Coturnix japonica: one gene and its partners. The protein of the gene in region 3 interacts with the protein of the main gene of each other region in a pairwise test. Links are inferred from orthologs where the notes say so. Each region holds a gene or a part of one and is shown on either strand. Other genes may lie near its edges. The genes, in order: GEM, SLC23A1, AHCYL1 and CDKN2C.

Evidence for each region.
Region 1: the proteins of AHCYL1 (region 3) and GEM interact in binary tests that used the Homo sapiens proteins (3 or more experiments, as listed by UniProt). The two-hybrid records come from large-scale screens. The link is inferred for Coturnix japonica from reciprocal best matches to the Homo sapiens genes AHCYL1 and GEM.
Region 2: the proteins of AHCYL1 (region 3) and SLC23A1 interact in binary tests that used the Homo sapiens proteins (3 or more experiments, as listed by UniProt). The two-hybrid records come from large-scale screens. The link is inferred for Coturnix japonica from reciprocal best matches to the Homo sapiens genes AHCYL1 and SLC23A1.
Region 4: the proteins of AHCYL1 (region 3) and CDKN2C interact in binary tests that used the Homo sapiens proteins (3 or more experiments, as listed by UniProt). The two-hybrid records come from large-scale screens. The link is inferred for Coturnix japonica from reciprocal best matches to the Homo sapiens genes AHCYL1 and CDKN2C.

What each region holds. Positions count from the first base shown.
Region 1 is NC_029517.1:114,173,966-114,178,801, forward strand, and holds the start of GEM (GTP-binding protein GEM), read right to left. Parts: upstream 3,076-4,836; 5' UTR 2,935-3,075; intron 1,522-2,934; 5' UTR 1,512-1,521; coding exon 1,178-1,511; intron 1-1,177. UniProt on the Homo sapiens protein: Could be a regulatory protein, possibly participating in receptor-mediated signal transduction at the plasma membrane. Has guanine nucleotide-binding activity but undetectable intrinsic GTPase activity.
Region 2 is NC_029528.1:14,268,960-14,273,764, forward strand, and holds the start of SLC23A1 (solute carrier family 23 member 1), read right to left. Parts: upstream 3,003-4,805; 5' UTR 2,646-3,002; coding exon of another isoform or gene 2,610-2,645; 5' UTR 2,459-2,609; coding exon 2,180-2,458; intron 2,095-2,179; coding exon 1,987-2,094; intron 1,911-1,986; coding exon 1,753-1,910; intron 1,682-1,752; coding exon 1,593-1,681; intron 1,516-1,592; coding exon 1,448-1,515; intron 1,381-1,447; coding exon 1,199-1,380; intron 1,087-1,198; coding exon 966-1,086; intron 887-965; coding exon 730-886; intron 613-729; coding exon 465-612; intron 290-464; coding exon 184-289; intron 113-183; coding exon 1-112. Other genes in the region: MZB1 (marginal zone B- and B1-cell-specific protein), read right to left, coding at 3,038-3,224, 3,296-3,400, 3,467-3,573, 3,729-4,010; PROB1 (proline-rich basic protein 1), read right to left, coding at 4,570-4,805.
Region 3 is NC_029541.1:1,677,944-1,682,815, forward strand, and holds the start of AHCYL1 (S-adenosylhomocysteine hydrolase-like protein 1), read left to right. Parts: upstream 1-1,751; 5' UTR 1,752-1,937; coding exon 1,938-2,045; intron 2,046-4,106; exon of another isoform or gene 4,107-4,324; intron 4,325-4,412; exon of another isoform or gene 4,413-4,534; intron 4,535-4,872. UniProt on the Homo sapiens protein: Multifaceted cellular regulator which coordinates several essential cellular functions including regulation of epithelial HCO3(-) and fluid secretion, mRNA processing and DNA replication.
Region 4 is NC_029523.1:21,378,638-21,382,634, forward strand, and holds the end of CDKN2C (cyclin-dependent kinase 4 inhibitor C), read left to right. Parts: intron 1-1,164; coding exon 1,165-1,539; 3' UTR 1,540-2,999; downstream 3,000-3,997. UniProt on the Homo sapiens protein: Interacts strongly with CDK6, weakly with CDK4. Inhibits cell growth and proliferation with a correlated dependence on endogenous retinoblastoma protein RB.

The DNA of each region.
Region 1 (4,836 bases), on a different chromosome or scaffold from region 3:
GGACCCTTAAGGGCCATCTAATTCAACTCCCTTGCCATGAACAGGGACACCTACAGCTAGATCAGGTTGGTTACAGCTCCATCCAGTGAGCTTACTTTGAAGTCAACATTTTAAAAGGGGAAATACAACAGCAGGTTTCCTGATACTTCCATAAAGCTGGCCTTGAAAACTTGTCATGGCCATCCTCCAAGCAGTAGTGCTGGGAGTGCAAATGAATGAAGAATCCATACTGCTTCTCATGAAGAAGGAAACTATCTGACAAGGATGTGCAAAGTAAATCCTGGCTTAAGAACCAAAAAACCTGTCCTGCCTATGCTCCACCAAAGGCTGGAAAAAAAAAGCTCAGAAACTCTCCGTGCTGTCATGGGCATCAGCACAAGCGGAACAGATAGAGGAGAGAAATGCTCTGTGTGTTGAATAGCAAAACCAGCCAGCAACTTGCACGTGTTACCAAGATGACAGCACCTGTGTCCTTAGGACCACAGCAGGCTTCTATCACTGCATGTCCCTTCTTCCACAGCACCTTGCTCACACCCTCATGGCTGGGTGCCACAGCCTCACCTTCTGCAATGACTAGTCTTTGGGACTAAGGAAGGTTTCAAAATCCTCACTAACACGGGAACATGAAATGAGGGGTAGATATATTTTGCTCAGACTCCCTACAGCCTATGCTGACACAACATATTCATATGTAAGGCTGAGATAACATATAATGGCAAATGTTTTGGAGAATTGGATAGGGCTTTTTATTTTTCATTGCATATTATTTCTGAGCATTACATTCTTGTGGACCACAAGGAAAGGTCCTTGTTTTCCTCTGCCCTATAGAAAGCTGGAAATAGCCCTTTGGAGCCTGTGGTGACACAAGAATAGGACCAGAATGAATACTGAATGGCAGCTTCCAACAAATTCTTTGAAATAAAAAAGCATGAGAATCTGTATTGTTCCTTTTCAGATGCTTTGAGTTGTTATTAGAGAGTACCATCCTCGTTGTAGCTTACTTTGCTTATTCTTGTTTTCTTAAGAGAGATGCATGTGTTGGAATTGCTTTTGACAATCAGATCCAGATGTTTGCTAGGTCAATTTTACATTAATTGACCTTTCTGATTTTCCACGTCAATTTCTGCTGCCATGGCTGGTGGTGAGCAAACACAGACCCCAGAGCATGGTGACCTACCTCCCAGCACCTCGCAGTCGCTGTCAATGCTGTCGTGTACCCCTGCAAAGATGTTGGCCAGCGACGATTTGCCCACACCTTGTTCCCCAATCAGCACCACTCTGTAGCAGTTGCTGCAGGACTCAGAGGAGATGACAGAGTCAGATGACTCCGAGGACCAGCTCCTTCTGTAGTATTCATCAGGACTGATGGTGTATCGCTTCTGCACATTGTACTCATTGGAGTCCTTCTGGACCAACAGGTTCTTCCCATCAGCAGGAATGCTCCATCGCTGCTGCTGCTGCTGCAGGCTGCTGTGGTGGGTGCGACGCATGGTAACGTTGTTGAGGGTCATTTTTTTACCCCTGGTGAGAAATGTGGAAGCCATACACTTTATTCTCAAAATACTTACAAACACACCATCTCAAGGCATCAGGTCCTGCTCTTCTATGGGGATACAGTATGCAACAACAACAACAAAAAAGGAGACTCCACACTTTTGCAGTTGCTAGTACTAGTATGCAAAGAAATATTTCTAGCTTGTGAGTCAGAGGCTTTTTCCTGGGGATGATGCCACCCCCATACACTAATCCTCTCTGTCTTTAGCCTGTACATGTTTCCTGTAGTGCTAAGTGTATGGGCAGGGAAGCACTCAGCAGAGCTCACATATGGCTGCATCCCCATCAAGAGATGGGCAGCACCTGCAGGCAACGCTCCCTGCCCTCCTGCCTCCTGGGGCAAGCAGAGGGACCCATCCCTCATACCTCAAACTCACAATCTTACACAGCTCCCATAGGAGAGGAAAGCCATGCAAGCAAGCACATGTCTTTGGGTCTCATCTATGTCGGGATAAGCTTAAAACAGTGGCTTTCTGGCTGCTAGCAGGGACACAACCAAGTCCAATGACTTTTCAGAGGAGGTATATGTTCAAGCCATTACAGAAGGTGGCACTGGCAGAAAAAGATCATAAGTTTACAAATACTAAATCAGAAACTTCATCTGTTTCACAATTAGCTAATAGGTTAGCTCTTCCAACCTTAGCATGGCCCCTAATTACACTTAAATTAGCAAACTCAGTTTTGAGCGGGTTGGCGGCAGAGCACAGTGATGTCATTCTCACGGGCCACCAGCTACCATTTTTAGGAATGTTACTTCTGTGGCTATTTGGACATTTTGCTTTTTGGAGTATATCTGAATTTTATCAGCTCTGTTCTCCATGTCAGTAGGCAGGAGAGCTGCCCATGAAATGAACTTTCAAACTTGAATAACAAGCGGTGAATGAAAACAAGCACAGCAACACATGAAAACAACATGTTCGGATCACTACTCCTTTTCACACAAAGCTATCTGAAAACTTCTTAGAATGAACATAGATCAGGCTGGAGAATAAGCAGACCAAAACCACTTTCTATCTGATCTTATTACAGCACTCACAGTACTTACTCTGTGACACGCAGTGCTTAGTGGCAAAACTAGATTCTGACAAGAAACTAGGCATCAAGCAAAGCCTGCTTCACAAAGTCAGATAGGAACCGCAGTTTGATTTACCATGCATTACTTTCTTTCAGTTTCCCCAGTGAAAAGACCAGATGAGAAAAAGCAATTCCAATTCAGTCAGATATCAGAGCCCAAACAAATGATGACCATCAATAAACAATCACGTCGCAGTCCAAGCCCAGGTTTGATGGCATGCACTGCACTCAGCTGTGTGGGTCTACAAAGCCACAACAAACCCCACAGACACAGGACCCAATGCACAGTGGCCAGAGATTCCTTACTTGTATGTGACCGTCCACGCTGTCAGCTCCGGATTCGCGCTGCCTTCCGCTCCGTGGGCTGTGTTACACTGAGCTGCTCTGCCAGAGTAAATCCCCTCCCGCTTACGGGCTGCCTCTTTAATTCCTTCTCAGCGAACCTGGTTTATATTAAGCCCATCTGATCGGAGACAGGGCTTTTCCGTGACGTGGTTGGCCTTTCCATCCAACAGCCAACCCCCAACTGGGAGGAAGCAGACATGCAGAAAAGCAAAAACTTACAAACAGCCTCAAAAGACTTACTTGAAATCATATGATTGTCTTGGTGTTGCCAGTAAAACAAACACATTTGGGGCTGACATGAGGAAAACAGGCAAGTGGAAAAATTAAAAAAAAACATGTCCTTCCATCTTGCTCAGTTCTGCATTCAAACGCCAGCAGGATTAATGGTGTTTTTAAAACTACGTGTTTCATTAATGAATATAATGCAGTAAATGTGTGATGTTCTCTGTCTGCAAAATGCAGTTAACTCCCCACTGGACAAGATGTTTTTTTGTGGAATAAAAGATCTGAATATCATTTTAGAATTATCTCACAAGCATGAATATTATTCTGTTGTTGTTTTGTTTTTTTTGTTTTGTTTTGGTTTGGTTTATTTGTCTTTTAAAGAGATCCAAAACATACAATCCTACTTTTTCCATCACCTTCCAAGGCTCTACCAGCCATCTCCCACCCCTGCTGCAGCACTCCTCCTGCAAGGGCTCAACAGAACGGCTGCCCACAGACTGAGTGCTGCTCCAGCTGGACGCCAGCAAAGACGGATGTGAATTACAGAGCACAGAGCCCGGGCGACACGGTGCAGATTCTGTCTGCAGTTTATTAGGAGAGATGGCTATACAGTGTATGCACCACAAAGCATGTGCCTGCTCCTCAAATGGTGCCATTTCTAACAGCCTGTGTGGAAATCACAATTAACAGAGCAAAGAAATAAACCTCCACAAAATACTTGGTAGGGATACCATCAGTTATACAGAAGTCTACAGCAAACTCCCACTATTTTTCCTTCTTTTTCCAAACCTGTGACTGCCCTTCCCCTGGCAGCTGAGCTTTAGCACCAGCGCTGTGCAGGGTGGAACATCCCTTCCCTTGGTACTGCCTGGCACTCATGTCACAGACTTCTGCATTTTTGTGTCTCACATAAGCCTTGTACAGAACATTTCCTCTGATAATGCAGCCCTTTATGAAACTCTTCCACTGAGATATGCCTGATTTCTCTCCCCTTCAGCTTTGTTGCACTTCTGCATTTTTCATGAGGATTTTCAGGGATCTTCTGAGCCCATCCTGTTGGATCACCTCTGTTCAGCAGTGGCTGCCCTGGCTCCAAGCCCTGCAGCTCTGCGTAGGATGCACACAACAACTGTTTGTGCTCACTGTACAGCACAGCAAAACACGGCACAACCCCTGTCAGGGAATGTTTATGGCAAGGCCAGTGGGTCTCAAAGCAGAGCACTTTGCTGTCAGCACACCGAGTTCTGAAGTTGCTCCTCCCTTTTGCAAAATGTAAATGAAGTGGGGGAGCGGATGGCTGCAGAGCTGCGTGCTGCACCCTCAAGGGATTTCAGTTCTCTTTATGTCGCCTGTCACTCGTCACCTCCTATAATAATGCAAAACCTGTCCATCACAGGGCTGCAGAGTTTTATGGCCAGATGGATGCCAGCAGAACCGTGGGCTCTAACGTCTCACCCAAATGTTTAACTTGTATGATAGCAGAAAGCACAGACAGCGGAAATGAATCACAGTCAGAAAAGGCTTTGCGTTTAGTTATGGCTCGTGTTAGATCAGCGATTGCCAGACATTGTGTGTCGTCTTCATAGCAATCAAGGTAAAGCAAACACAGCTCTCCAGTGATCCCACAATACATGCCCT
Region 2 (4,805 bases), on a different chromosome or scaffold from region 3:
TCCCACCGAGGATGGGGTCGGGCAGTGAGGCGAACAGCGCAGTGAACTTGCCAATGGTGCCCAGGATGAGCATGATCCCAGCGCCGTATTGAATCACCCTCCTGCTCCCCACCTGCACACGGGGACACAGGCAGTGCATGGAGGCGGCTGTGACCCCGTGGGGACACATGGGTCGGGTGGTACCTTGGTGATGCCCAGCACCCCGATGTTGGGGCTGGAGGAGGTGGAGCCGTTGCCGGTTCCCATCAGCCCCGCGATGATGCAGGAGATGCCTTCTGTGAAAATGCCCCTGGGGGATGAACAGAGGGATGAGCAGAGGGTGCCATTCCCTGTGGTGGCTTTGGAGACGTGCCCGAGGTGTGGGGCTGTGCCACCAGGAAGTGGCAGCATGAAGCAGCCACAGGCACAGAATGGGAGTACAGACGGTGTGCAGTGCAGTCCCCATCCCTGCAGTGCTGCCATACCTGTTGATGGCGTGCACTGGGGGTGCGGGTGCTCCTGACAGCCGTGCACAGGAATAGTAATCCCCGATGGACTCGATGATTCCAGCCAGTGTGGCACTGAACATGCCCAGCACAGCTGCTGAGGTCACCGTGGGCAGCCCCCACTGACCTGAGGGGAGCAGCACTGCGTGGGGACGTGCCACCACCATGGGGTGTGTGCTGCCAGCAATGGTGTGCCACTGCCCTGCCCCTGTGTGGCACCGTGGGGCAGCCATGGGTCACTCACAGGGGTAGGGGAAACGGAACCAGGGAGCCACCGAGAGGATCTCCCCGCGTGCATCCGTCCGGGCCTTGTAGCCGTACTCGTCGGGGTGGCTGGGGAAGACGCCGGTGCGTGTCAGCACGTAGCAGAGCAGCCACATCACCATGATGGCCAGGATGATCTGTGGGTGGACATGGGGACACGTGGGGATGGGGACACCCCAGCAGCGCTGCACAGCACCTCCCCCACCCCATCCCTACGGGGAACATCTTGAAGATCTGCACACGCAGCAGGACGAAGCCGCGGCCCCAGCGGTACCCGGGCAGGAGCACGGTGATGTTCCGCAGGTACTGCGCAAAGAGCACGATGAGGACGATGGACCTGCAGAGAGCAGAGGGCCATGAGGACACCGGGACCTTGAGGACACCAGGGATACCTGCGGCGTTGGCACAAGGGCCTGAAATCCACCCTCATGCTCATGGTGGTGACATACAGCGCAGCGATGCCCCAGTGCGAGCCGGCCCGCTCGCCTGCAGCCTGGAAGACGGAGAGGCCGATGAGGGAGACGGTGGGGGTGACGGTGAGCGGCCCGATGTAGCTGAGCAGCGCGCCAGGCAGCCCCAGCAGCCCGATGAACACCTCCACCAGGCTGGACACCACGATGGCCCCCTGGATCTGTGGGGTGAGACGTGAGCGGGTGCGGGGCAGCCGTGGGGCCGCGTGGGGCAGGGCTGGGCCGTACCTCCCGCATGCGGGGCTGCCAGATGTGGGAGGTGTTGAGCGGCAGCACCCAGTTGCCATAGATCTGATCTGGGGGTGGAGGAGGGTGGAGGTGAGCACAGGGCTGATGGGCAGCGTGTGCCGCCATCGCTGCGTCCCGCTCCTACCTTCAGGTGGGCAGCGCCACTTCTCCAGCGCCAGGATGGACTTGGCGGGCACCAGGAAGGCCAGAGCACTCGCCTGGAACAGCGGCAGCCTGCGGGGTGGGAGGGGGGGCTGCAGCCCTTGGGGGGATGTGGACCAGGGGCGGGGGGGGAGCAGCCCTACCTGATGCCCACGGTGGTCTGGATGAGGGTGGTGATGCCGACGCAGGTGAAGATGGTGCCGATGAGGTAGCTGACGGTCAGCTGGTCCTTGCCCACACACAGGCTCTCAGCCAGCAGGAAGGGCACGGCGATGGTGCCGCTGAAGCAGGTCAGGTAGTGCTGGGGGCACAGCGGTGCGGGGGCTCAGATGGGACCCGGCGGGGGGGGCTCTGGGGCCGTGGGGGCTGTGCCGTACCTGGAAGCCCATCAGGATGCAGAGGTACCAGGGGGGCACGTCCTCGATCCGGTACAACATGTCGAACTGCCGCCGAGCTGGGGGTGGGCCGGGGTCCGCCGCGGGGCCCTGGGGAGGGCACGGCTGAAGGGGAAGCGCTGAGCCCACCGGCAGCCCCAAGGGGCGCAGGGACAGGGATGGGGACAGTGCTCACCCTGCCCGCCCCCGGGGGTCGCTGGGGGCCAGAGGGGGCGAGGGCCGGGCTGGCGTCCTGGCAGCAGGGAGAGGCAGAGGGTGGATCGGTGTTGTGCCGGGCGTGCCATGGGAACCTGGCTGCGGCCTCCTGGGGATGTGGGGACACCGCCCGGCCACCCCCGCCGGGATCCGGGCCCTCGGGTGCCGCCCCAGGGGGACCCAGTGCACGGTGGTGGGGTCCCCACTGTCCCCGGAGCAACTGTAGCCCCCCATGGGTGCCATGCCCCAGCCACAGCATCCCACCACGGCCCCAGTGTGTCCCCTGGGCCTCGCCCCCCCAAGCCCCCCCCACCCTTTGCCACCCAGAGGCGCTGTGCCCCTCCCCACCTGCCCCGTCCCCAGCGCCCAATGGGGGCAGCTGAAGGGGTCGGGGTGGGAGCCGCGGTCACCTGGGGCTGGGGCAGTTCTCCCGAGCGGGTCCCCATCCTGGGCAGTGCGGGGATGTCACCACGCGGTGGTTTATATTGTGCTGGGGAGGACTTTACTCTGCGGGTTGTGAAACCGGGGAGTGTGGTGGTGGTGAGGGATGAGCGATTAACTGCTTTAATTAGGGCTGGCACCGCCGCCCGCGCCGCTTCGGTCAAACATTAAGGCGGAGGGTTACAGAGTAACAGCGCGGACGGGGCACGGGTGGCACCGGGGATGTCCCCACGAGAGCAAACACACGGAGCTGGGATGGGGACAGCAGCAGCCCGGCAACCCGGGCCTGGAGCCGGCAGTGCCACCTCCCTGAGTCCCCTCCGCGTGTGTCCGGCTCCAAAGGTCACCAGGCATTAAGCATTAACCACCCGCAGTGCCGGCAGGTGAAGGCTGCTGGCTACAGCTCGTTCTGCAGCGCCTTAGGGGGGGCTGAGCCCCCTGCTTTAGACGCCCCCAGGTGGGCGCACGGCCCCTTCTCGCCGTGGCACAGCAGCTCCCGCAGCGCGGTGTGGCCCCGTCGGTGCGCTCGGTACAGCCGCTGCTCGCCGTGCTCGCCCACGAGGCCGTGGCACATCTTGCTCAGCCTGCGGGCGGTACGAGGTGTCGGGGCACGGAGCGTCCCCGTGTCCCCTCCGTGCCACCCTGCAGCGCTCACCTGCCCGGCCACGGGCCCCCCATCATGGCCACGCTCATCGCCTCCTGCCTCGGCAGCCCCGGCCCCGTCAGCCGCCGCTCCCCTCTCAGTTCCTGCACGCCGTAACTGCAGGGATGTGAGGTTGGGGTCTCGACCGCCCGCTGCCCACTGGGGAAGGGTCGCAGCACTCACAGCTCCCAGTCCTGCACGCAGCTTTGCTCCAGCACCTCCACGTAGTCGGACTCGCTCAGCTCCTTCCTGCCCTGCTTCGCCTCCGCGCGGCTCAGCCGCCCCTCCAGCTGCGGCAGGAGCGGAGCAGAAAGTGGCCGCGCTGTGGCCATGCACCGGGACCCCCCTGCATGCACCGGGACCCCTCTCCCACCCCATCACCCCCCTCACCCCCCAGCAGCGCTCAGCGCGGTGCCGGGCTGCTGCTGGGGATGCCCCCCTGCACCTGGAAGGCGATGGCGTGGCAGGCGTCGCAGCGCAGCGCTTCAGGCATGTGGGGTGAGAGCCGGTCCTCAGCACTCATCTGTGGCGCAGGGATGTTGTAGGATGAGGAGGGGACCTCGGGGCCCCCACATGCATCCTCAGCCCCGGCTCTTGCTGCCAGGCTCAGGGACACACACAGCACCAGCGCTGCCTGCATGATTCTGCCCCGGCACCGCTGGGTGATGCTGGAAGCAATGGGGGCGGGCACGGACTGTGTCACCCCCAGGCACCCATGCGCAGCCATGCACCTGCATCCGGCTGACACTCAGTGCAGCATCTGCCCCTGTTTTGGTGTTGGGTTTAATTCAGAATCCTGGTTACGTTCAGTCCTGCCCCCATCCTCCCACACATCAACCCTGGGTTTGTCTCACCTCCTCCTCCCCCTGGGCTTGTGACCCCCATCCCCACCATTGCACCTGCACCGTTTGCTGTGCATGAGGCTCTGCTCAGGGTGTGCCCCTCGTGTCCCCTTTAGAGACGACTCAGACTCGGGTGGGTTTGTAGGGTTAATGCTGGCCCTGCACTTTATTGCTATTTCCAGGAGTCCGTGCTGTGGCTGCGGCGCTTCTATTCATCACCCTGGGATGGGAGCTGCAGGCTGGGCCGAGCGGGGCCATCCACGTGGTCCCTTTGCTGCTGTGGCCACACTGCCACAACTTCAGGAACACACCGGGGCTGAAAACATCACTTTTCCTTCTAGATGATGGTCAGGCCCAGGCAATACCCACCACCAGATCAGCCACAACCACAGGGTCCCTCCAGCCAGGGCTGGGGGCGATGTGGGCTGGCACTGCATCTGGAGATCACAAGGGAGGCAGTGGTCCCTTCTCGGCGCTGGCAGGGCTGGCACGGGCTGGGGGTTGGCTGGGGCTGGGGCTGGCCCGCATCCCTGTGGGGATGTAATAGGGGCTCTCCAGGTACCCGCAGTCAGGACCCCCAGCTGCAGGTGTCCCCTCACCCTTAGGATCAGGGCTGAAGGTTCCAGATAAGCCTCCAGGGTTTTCAGAGGTCGGTGGCTGGCCCTGCAGGTCAAGATGTG
Region 3 (4,872 bases):
TGGGCCATAGTGATTATGGTCTGTGTGTGTGTGTGGGGGGGTGATTGGGGTCAGAGGATGTTCGGGTTGTTCTGTGGGGGGGCTGGGGGCAGCGAGTCCCTGCCCTGATGGAGGGTTAAGCTGAATGATGGCTGTGGGGCAGTGGGGATGGAGGAGAGGCCATGGGGAGGGGGGGAGAAATGGGGGGAGAAGGCACGGGGAGGAGATTTTGGGGGTAAAACTGACAGTTTTGGGAGCCCTAAGGGTGGGTTGGGGGGAGCAAAAGCTCAGAGCCCATTTTTGGGAGCTTTAATGGGGGGATGGAGCCAATCCATGTTCCTACAGCAGGGAGGGGGATCATCCCTCCTAAAGGAGAGCCCCCATGGGGGGATTTTTACACCTTAAAAGCAGGTGAGGTGCCGAGATGGGGCTGAAAACCCAAAGTCTGAAGTGGGGGGGGGGAGGGATGAAGCATCAGCACTGGGGTGGCTGTGGATGGGGCACCGTCGGACCACAGCCTTCCCTATGGGGCAGCAGGGACCACAGCCCTCCCTATGGGGCCGCAGACTGCTGACGGGGCAGCGCCGTCCCGGAAAGCACCGCGGGGCCGCGGTTCCCCACTGGGGGTTATAGGGACGGAACGGAGCGATCCCGGCCACCCTGATGGGATGGAGGGTTGTGTCGAGTGAGGACCGGCCCGGGCCCGATCTGCGGTCAGACAGAGCAGTTTTGGTTAAGGGGAAAACTATGAGCTGCGATGCTGCAACGCTGCTGGCTCTGTGGGTTCATCGCTGTGGGGCTGGAGGGGGGACGAGCAATGAGGGGAGGTACATGTGTGTAACCCCATTGCTGGGTATGGGGGGGGTAAGGGTGGGAAATGGGGATCCCAAGGGGGAAGCGGAGCCATTCAGTGCTGGATGGATGGATGGATGGATGGATGGATGGATGGATGGATGGATGGATGGATGGATGGATGGACAGCAGCACCATCAGCCCGTATCAAGGAGGGACGTGGCCCTTGGGAGCACCATGGGGGGCTGAGCTGAGGGTGCTGACCCCCCCCCCCGTGCATTACAGCCCATCCCAGCCCGTCCCCACCATGATGGATGCTTGTTCCTTGGATCTGGCTGCCCCTAGAGCTGTGCTTGGGGCTGCCCTGACCCAGCGCAGAACAGAGAGCTCAGCCCTCCAGGAGGATGGAAGGGAGGTGGGTGGGGGCGAGGATTCTCTGGGTCCCTTCCAACCCAAACCATTCCATGTCTCTGTTTCTCAGTTTATTTATGACTGAATCAGATCATAGTGGGGTTAAGCTTCTTTATTCATTCTTTTATCTGTTTATTTATGCATTATGTCCTCATCCTCATCCCATCCCATCCCATCCCATCCCATCCCATCCATCCTCCATTCCAACCCATCCTCCATCCCAACCCATCCATCCTCCATCCCAACCCATCCCATCCCTTCTCACCTCATTCCCATCCATTTTCATCCCATTCCCATCCCACCCCATCCCATCCCATCCATGCCCATCCCATCCCCCGCCATCCCCATCCACCCATCCCCATCCCATCCATCCCATCCATCCCATCCCATCCCATCCCATCCCATCCCATCCCATCCCATAGTCCTCCCGTGGCGGTCCATTCCCCCCTTCCACCACTAGGTGGCGCCATGGTGCCGCTCCCGTTTCCATCCCGTCTCTTCTATCTCCCCGCCTCACTCATCCAGCGGCCGCGTGATGACGTCATCACGCACTAACGTCACTCCAGAGCCGCCCCCGGCGCCCCGCGCGGTGCCCGCAGTGTCCGCCGCATCGCGCTGCGAACCGACCGGAACCGAACGGAACCGAACGGAACCGAACGGAACCGAACGGAACCGAACGGAACCGAACGGAACCGAACCGGGGCGGCCCATCCCTCCTCCTCCCCTTGTACCCCTCCGTTCCGCCTCGAGACACGATGTCGGGCCCGGAGCCCAGCGGCGGTGAGGAGGCCAAGCAGGCCAAGGAGGCGGAGGACGCTGAGAAGTTTTCCTTTATGGCCACCGTTACCAAAGCGCCCAAGAAGGTACAACGGGATCGATAGGGGCTGGAATGGGGCCTATGGGGCTGTATGGAGCTGTATGGGGCTGTATGGGGCTGTATGGGGTCAATATGGGGCTGTATGGGGCTGTATGGGGCTGTATGGGGCTGTATGGGGCTGTATGGGGCTGTATGGGGCTGTATGGGGCTGTATGGATCTGTATGGGGCTGTATGGGGCTGTATGGATCCGTATGGGGCTGTATGGGGCTGTATGGGTCTGTATGGGGCTGTATGGGGCTGTATGGGGCCGTATGGATCTGTATGGGGCTGTATGGGGCCGTATGGATCTATATGGGGCTGTATCGGTCTGTATGGGGCTGTATGGATCGGTATGGGGCTGTATGGATCCGTATGGGGCTGTATGGATCTGTATGGGGCTGTATGGATCGGTATGGAGCCGTATGGGGCTGTATGGAGCCGTATGGGGCTATATGGATCTATATGGGGCCGTATGGGGCTGTATGGATCTGTATGTGGCTGTATGTGGCTGTATGGGGCCGTATGGTGCCCTATGGATCTGTATGGAGCCTTATGGATCTGTATGGGGCCGTATGGATCTCTATGGGGCCGTATGGGGCCGTATGGGGCTGTATGGATCTGTATGGAGACTTATGGATCTGTATGGGGCCGTATGGAGACTTATGGATCTGTATGGGGCCGTATGGAGACTTATGGATCTGTATGGGGCCGTAATGGGGAGACTTATGGATCTGTATGGGGCCGTATGGAGACTTATGGATCTGTATGGGGCCGTATGGATCTGTATGGAGCCTTATGGATCTGTATGGAGCCATATGGGGCCCTATGGATCTGTATGGAGCTATATGGGGCCGTTTGGATCTGTATGGGGCCGTATGGATCCGTATGGAGCCCTATGGAGCCCTATGGAGCCCTATGGAGCCCTATGGAGCCCTATGGGGCCATATGGGGTCGTATGGATCTGTATAGGGCCTTATGGATCTGTATGGAGCCGCATGGGGCCCTATGGATCTGTATGGGGCCGTATGGGGTCGTATGGATCTGTATAGGGCCTTATGGATTTGTATGGGGCCGTATGGTGCCATGGGGTGAGAGCTGAGTGCTGCCCCACCATGTAGGGCTGTTGTCGGGGCTTATAGGTGGGCACATCGCTGTGTGCTGGGCTCAGGGTGTCCCCATTGGGCTCAGTGCTTTGCTATGGGTCCCCGTGTGCTCATAGTGGGGACACAGCCCCCATTGGGGACCCCCCTATGGGTGGTTATGGCAGCACTGGGATGTGATGGGAGCGGAGGGTTGGAGGCTGTCGTGCCCAGCTCTGTTTATTCAGGCTTTGGATGTGGCCTGAAGGAAGGAGCGGAGGAATGTGGAGCTGGGAGCTTGTAGGGGGGGTTTGTGTTCTTATTGCTTTTGTATTTAATGGAGCTGGGCTGGTCATGGAGCTGATGGTAACAGGGTGAGGCTGTGGCTGAGCTGGGAGCAAGCAATGAATCCTGGAGCATCATACCCACGGAATAAGAAATAACCTCAGTGTATCCAGGGGGAATCCTGGTGTTCTCAGAGCTCTGTCTGTGCTCGGGTTGGTTTGGGATCCTTCCTTACCTCGCTGTGCTGCTGTGTGCATTGAATTGCGTTGCATTGCATTGCGTTGCATTGCATTGCATTGCATTGCACAGCACCAAGAGCAGCCGTCACACTGCAGCGCTGTGATGGTGGAGGTGCCCTGAGCCACGGGAGGCATTTGATGCTGATAACATCAGCGTTGCATTGAGATCCTGGGGAGCTTGCAATGCAACTGAGGTCAAGGAACAAAGCGCTCGGGGCTGCTGCTCTCCTTGCATGGCTGCTTTGTGCAAATAGGGCTCAGTTATAGGGGAAACCTTGGCAGGAGGATGAAAGGAGAAGGATGGAGAATCACCCTGCAATACAGCGCTGAGTGCCCCCAGCTCTGGGCATTTCAGATGCTTTCCAATTGCAATGGAACCATTCAAACGCCTCTTGGTTTTAATGCAAGCCAAAGCTGCTTACGGCTGCTCCGAGCGTGGCCAGCATTGAAGATGGCTGAGAGGTGGAGCTGGAGGACACAGTGTGTGCCCTGATACTGGGATGGAGCTGAGCTGTGTGAGCTGAGCTCCTCAGGGAGCAGCTTTGCCTTGTCCCAGTGCATGGGGTGGGTGTCCCCAGCTTGGAGCCCCCCCTTGAGCACAGGGGGAACACATGGGCTGCATCGGAACCCTTCAGCATCGCTCTCCTGATTTGCTTAAGGTGAAAAAGTGAAACAGCAGGAGGTAAGAGATTAAAAGATTACACGCCATCGGATTGAAGTCGGAGCTGCAGCCGTCAGAGCTGGGGGTTCCCTGCAGCAATGCGGCCGCTGCTGCTCCAGGAGCTGCTGGCGTCGCCTGCAACCTCTTGCAGCTCCTTTGCTGCTCTGCTTCCCGGGGACAAAACAGTGGGAGCCATTGGGCTGCTGGGCAGGGAGAGCTTTGCAGGCAGAGGTGAGCGATGCTGAGCCTTGTGCTTTGGTGGGGGGTGCTTTGCTTTGGGGATGGAGGAGAACAGAAGGGCAGTGCGTGCTCTCCCAGCTCCCTGGGTGCTACTTATGCTGCCTGCACCCACAGACCTGCAGCTGCCCTTGGAGCTGCATTTCCCAGCCTGTTTGCTGCAGCCCTGAGCTCCCTGCTGTGCTCTGTGTGTGTGTGTGTGTGTGTGCCCTTGAGCTGGGGGGGCTTTGCATGCCTGCTCCCTGTTTGTTACTGTGACCCTGCACGCAGCATCTCCATGCAGGCACCTTCACGCTCGGGCGCTGTTGGACAGGCAGACGCTCTCGTCCTCT
Region 4 (3,997 bases), on a different chromosome or scaffold from region 3:
CTCTGCCCTCACAGCACCGGGGAAGAAGTGAGATTTATTAATTAGAAGAATCATTAGAAGAACTTTATTATTATTTTTAATAATCTTAAAAAGCCTAATTATTATTATTATTATTATTATTTTACACTAAGAGACTTTTGAGGCAAATGCTTTGTGTAAGTTCTGCTCAGTTATTTCTCATCTAACTGTAACATACATTTTTGTTGCTGATTCTTTTTTATTATTATTATTCGCGAGGTTTTCAGATCAGTTTAAGGAAATCCAGGAGGGGTTTTTACTCGGCTCTGCCACTCGCAGTGCGGCTGATGGCACAGACAGAGCAGTGCTGCGCTGGGTGCCCGGCTCAGGCTCTGAGAAAACAAAACAAGAAGGAATAAAAGATAGAGGAATTTGATGGGAATCGGTGCAGGCCGTTACGTCCCAAATAGGGGGAAAAAAAATGTGTTCTAATTTCGAATGATTTTATGATGCAACCGAGAGAATGTAATGAGGCATTCGATTGAATTATTTCTTTATGTATTTCTTCCTGACCCAACGGCTGGTTCTGAAATAGGGATGTGTGTAACAGCAGAGCGTGGCCGTGGTTTGTTTATATTAAAATGACAGAATCCTGATCGGATCATAGAATCCAGAACCACTGAATCATTGGTTGGTTTGGGAAGAAAATGTGCGGCACTTCGCACCGCTCCTTTTCACTTCTTGTCAGGTGACACTGAGACTCCAGCACCGGGGAGAACAGTTTCTTGGAGCATTTATTTTTCTTAGCAGCCAGAACTATGGCACGGCACAAATATTTGCTTTATGATAATGCGCAGACAATGCAAACACCTGAGGGCTTATCGAAGCACATCGCGCATTTTCTATCGCTGAGGCACAGTCTCTGTTCCTCGGAGACCCGCAGCCGGCACCGAGCGGTGCTGCAGAGGAGCCGAGATCACTTGTAGGGGAGAAGGTCGCTCCGGCTGCAGGCGTTAATCTCTGAGCCAAAGCTGTCAGCACCGAGCCACCAAACCTCCCCTAACAGCACCACCAAACCTCCCCTAATGCCGCCGAGGTCAGTGAGGAAAGCTTGGAATTAGACGTACCGTCGGGCGCAGCGGGGCTCGGAGCTGTGGGCTGAGGGCTGGGGCTCCGCGGGCGCTGACGTCTCACTCCGTCCCGCAGGTGATGAAGCTCGGCAACCCCGAGATCGCCCGCAGGCTGCTGATGAGCGGAGCGAACCCCAACCTGAAGGACAGTACCGGCTTCGCCGTCATTCACGACGTAGCCAGAGCGGGTTTCCTGGACACTTTGCAGACCCTGCTGGAGTTCCACGCCGACGTGAACATCGAGGACGCGGAAGGCAACCTGCCGTTACACCTGGCGGCCCAGGAGGGCCACGTGCGGGTGGTGGAGTTCCTGCTGCGGCGCACCCCGAGCCGCGTCATGCACCAGAACCGCCGCGGGGACACGGCGCTGGACGTGGCCCGGCTGTACCGGCGCAGCGCCGTGGTGCGGCTGATGGAGGGCGGCCCCCCGCCCGCGGCCGACACCGACTGAACCGGGCCTCCTCGGACACTGCGGCTCCCAGCCTCGATCTTTGATGATTTTCTTTTTTTTTTCTCCCCCTTTTTAATAACGTTTGGTTCAACCCTACTTCTATATATATTTTTTTCTTTTTTTTTGTTGTTGTTATATTTTTGGAATAGTGGATAGTGTGAGTTCAAGAAGTTGTAGAAGTGGGGTTTTAGCTAAGGAACATTATTTCAATGCACGGTGGCGGCACGTTGTTACCGCCGCCGCTCACATCACTCCTCACTCCGCCGTGCCCACGCCGCAGCTCACACCGGGCTTCCAGCACCACGCTCTGCAGTGTATCCCCGTTCGTTACTCAGCCATTAACCTAAACGTTGAGGATCCACCGCTTAATGACCCCTTTCCGCGCCGGGGGAAGGAAACAGCCCGCGGGGATTCTTCCCCCCCCCCCCCCCCCTCCCCCACACCCCCGGCTCAGCCTGACGCGTGTTGGGGTCGGGTGGGGACCGGGAGCGGCCCGGCCGGGGGGGCACCGGGCCCGGGAGAACCGCTTCGGGCATCAACCTCAGTCTGACACTAACAGGAGCTCTTAAGAGTAGGTCGCTCGCTTTCTAAATGTAGATGACACTTTTCCCCTTTGTGTATTTAAACTTTCACCGAGCTGCCTTTGAGTGTAGTTACCAGAAACAACAGAAGTGGCTTTTCTTTTTTTTTTTTCTTTTTTTGGCCAGAGGTTTTGAGGCGCTCAGCTGGGCACTCGGAGCAGAAAAGTGCATTATTCTCCAGTTTCCAAAGAGCACATAACCCCGGGCAGAGGTAGGAGCACAGAAATGGGGGGCTGAAATCCTCCAGCTCCTCCTGTCCCTGCCTGAGCTGAGCGCTGTTGCGATGCTCTTTAGAAATGATCGCTTCGTACCGCCCGCTTTGTTTTGTTTGGGGAAGAAAAAAAAAAGGAAAAGCCAAACCCCACAGGATGATGACGGCTGTATCTTACAGGTATATTTGGATGCAGTGGAATTTAGGAAGCGACACTTGAGGTACTGGTGAGGTGATCTCAATGCCTGCACCTAACGAGCAATGGAATCCCTGAACTGTTTCCCTTGCAGAACAGCCGTCAGGGTCCCACGGCCGAACCCCCCGTTAAGGCGGGGAGCAGCGGGAGGGGCGGCGGACGGGAACCTCGGCGTGCTCTGCGCTGCGGGGTCGGACTGTCGATGGCACAGGATGGGAAGGCACACATCAATGTGAAAGGAAAGACTGGCTGCAAAATAGCACCTAAAAGACAAGGGCTGTACATTGCTTTACGTTTTCTTTCTTTAAAACAAACAAACAAACCAACCCCAAAATTTATGTACACGGTCCCGCAAAATGAACTACCACTGTTTTCCAGTATCAATAACTGCCTGGACCTGTCCGTCCCGTCGCTGTACTCTCACAACCACTGTGTTCTGCGTTCTCTGATTAAAAACCTCTGTGCACCGCAACGCCTCGCGCTGTTCTGTGGCACATCTATTCCCGAGGGGCTGCGGACCCCTTCCCACCCGCGGGGGGTGGCAGCCCCCCGGGGCCGCGCTCACCTCCTCCGCTCTCCCCGACCTGTGCAGCCCAAAGCCCCCCACCCCGTCCCAGCTGCGCTCCGTCCTCGCTCTGCCCGCACCCCCCGCCCCGCCCTCCCGGTCCCTCGGGATGCTCCCGCATCGCGGTGCGGCTCTCCCTCCCGCAAAGCCTATTTCTCGGCAGCGGTGTGCTACACTTGGTTCACTTGGTACACTTGGTACACTTGGTACACTTGGTACACTTGGTACACTGACGCCTCTTCCCCCGCCCTTGGCATCGGGAGGGGAATGGATGCTGGAAACTCTCCGGGGAACCGGAGTGGGGGCTTCCCTATGTGCTGCGGTGCTCCCCAGTGGGATCCTTCTGCCCCAAAGGGTTCTGAGCTCGGACGCGGTTCAAGAAGTGTCTTTGCGACCCCGTCCTCGCGCTCTGACAGCAGCAGAATGTCCCATTTTACAAATCCTGTTGGTGACAACGTCAACAGGAACGTTCAGCAGCGGATGCAAACAGACAGATGGAACGAAATATTTATTGGAAAGCTTTTATTGAGACAGAGACCACGAGCAAAGAACATCTCTCGGGCAGGAGCAGCCGGGGCCGCGTACATCACAACCGCAGCGAGTGCGGTGCGGAGCGATGGGGAACAAAACGCTGCCCCGGGCACGGAGCCCTCTCCCCTATTTCGGGGTGAGGGGCTGAGCTGCCTCACTGACCTTTGCTACTAAATTACACAGAGAGGGAAAGCTGAAATACAGCTGAAAAGGAGCAGATCCCGGTGGGGGAACAGTCCCTGGGGCCGGGGCACGGAGAGGGGTGTGGGGGTGAGCCCCAGCACTGCACATGGGGGCAACGGAGGGGCGGCGTTCCACGAGGCTTTGTGCGCGTTTCTGTGCGGTGAGAGGAGGGATGGGTGAGTCGTTCCGTG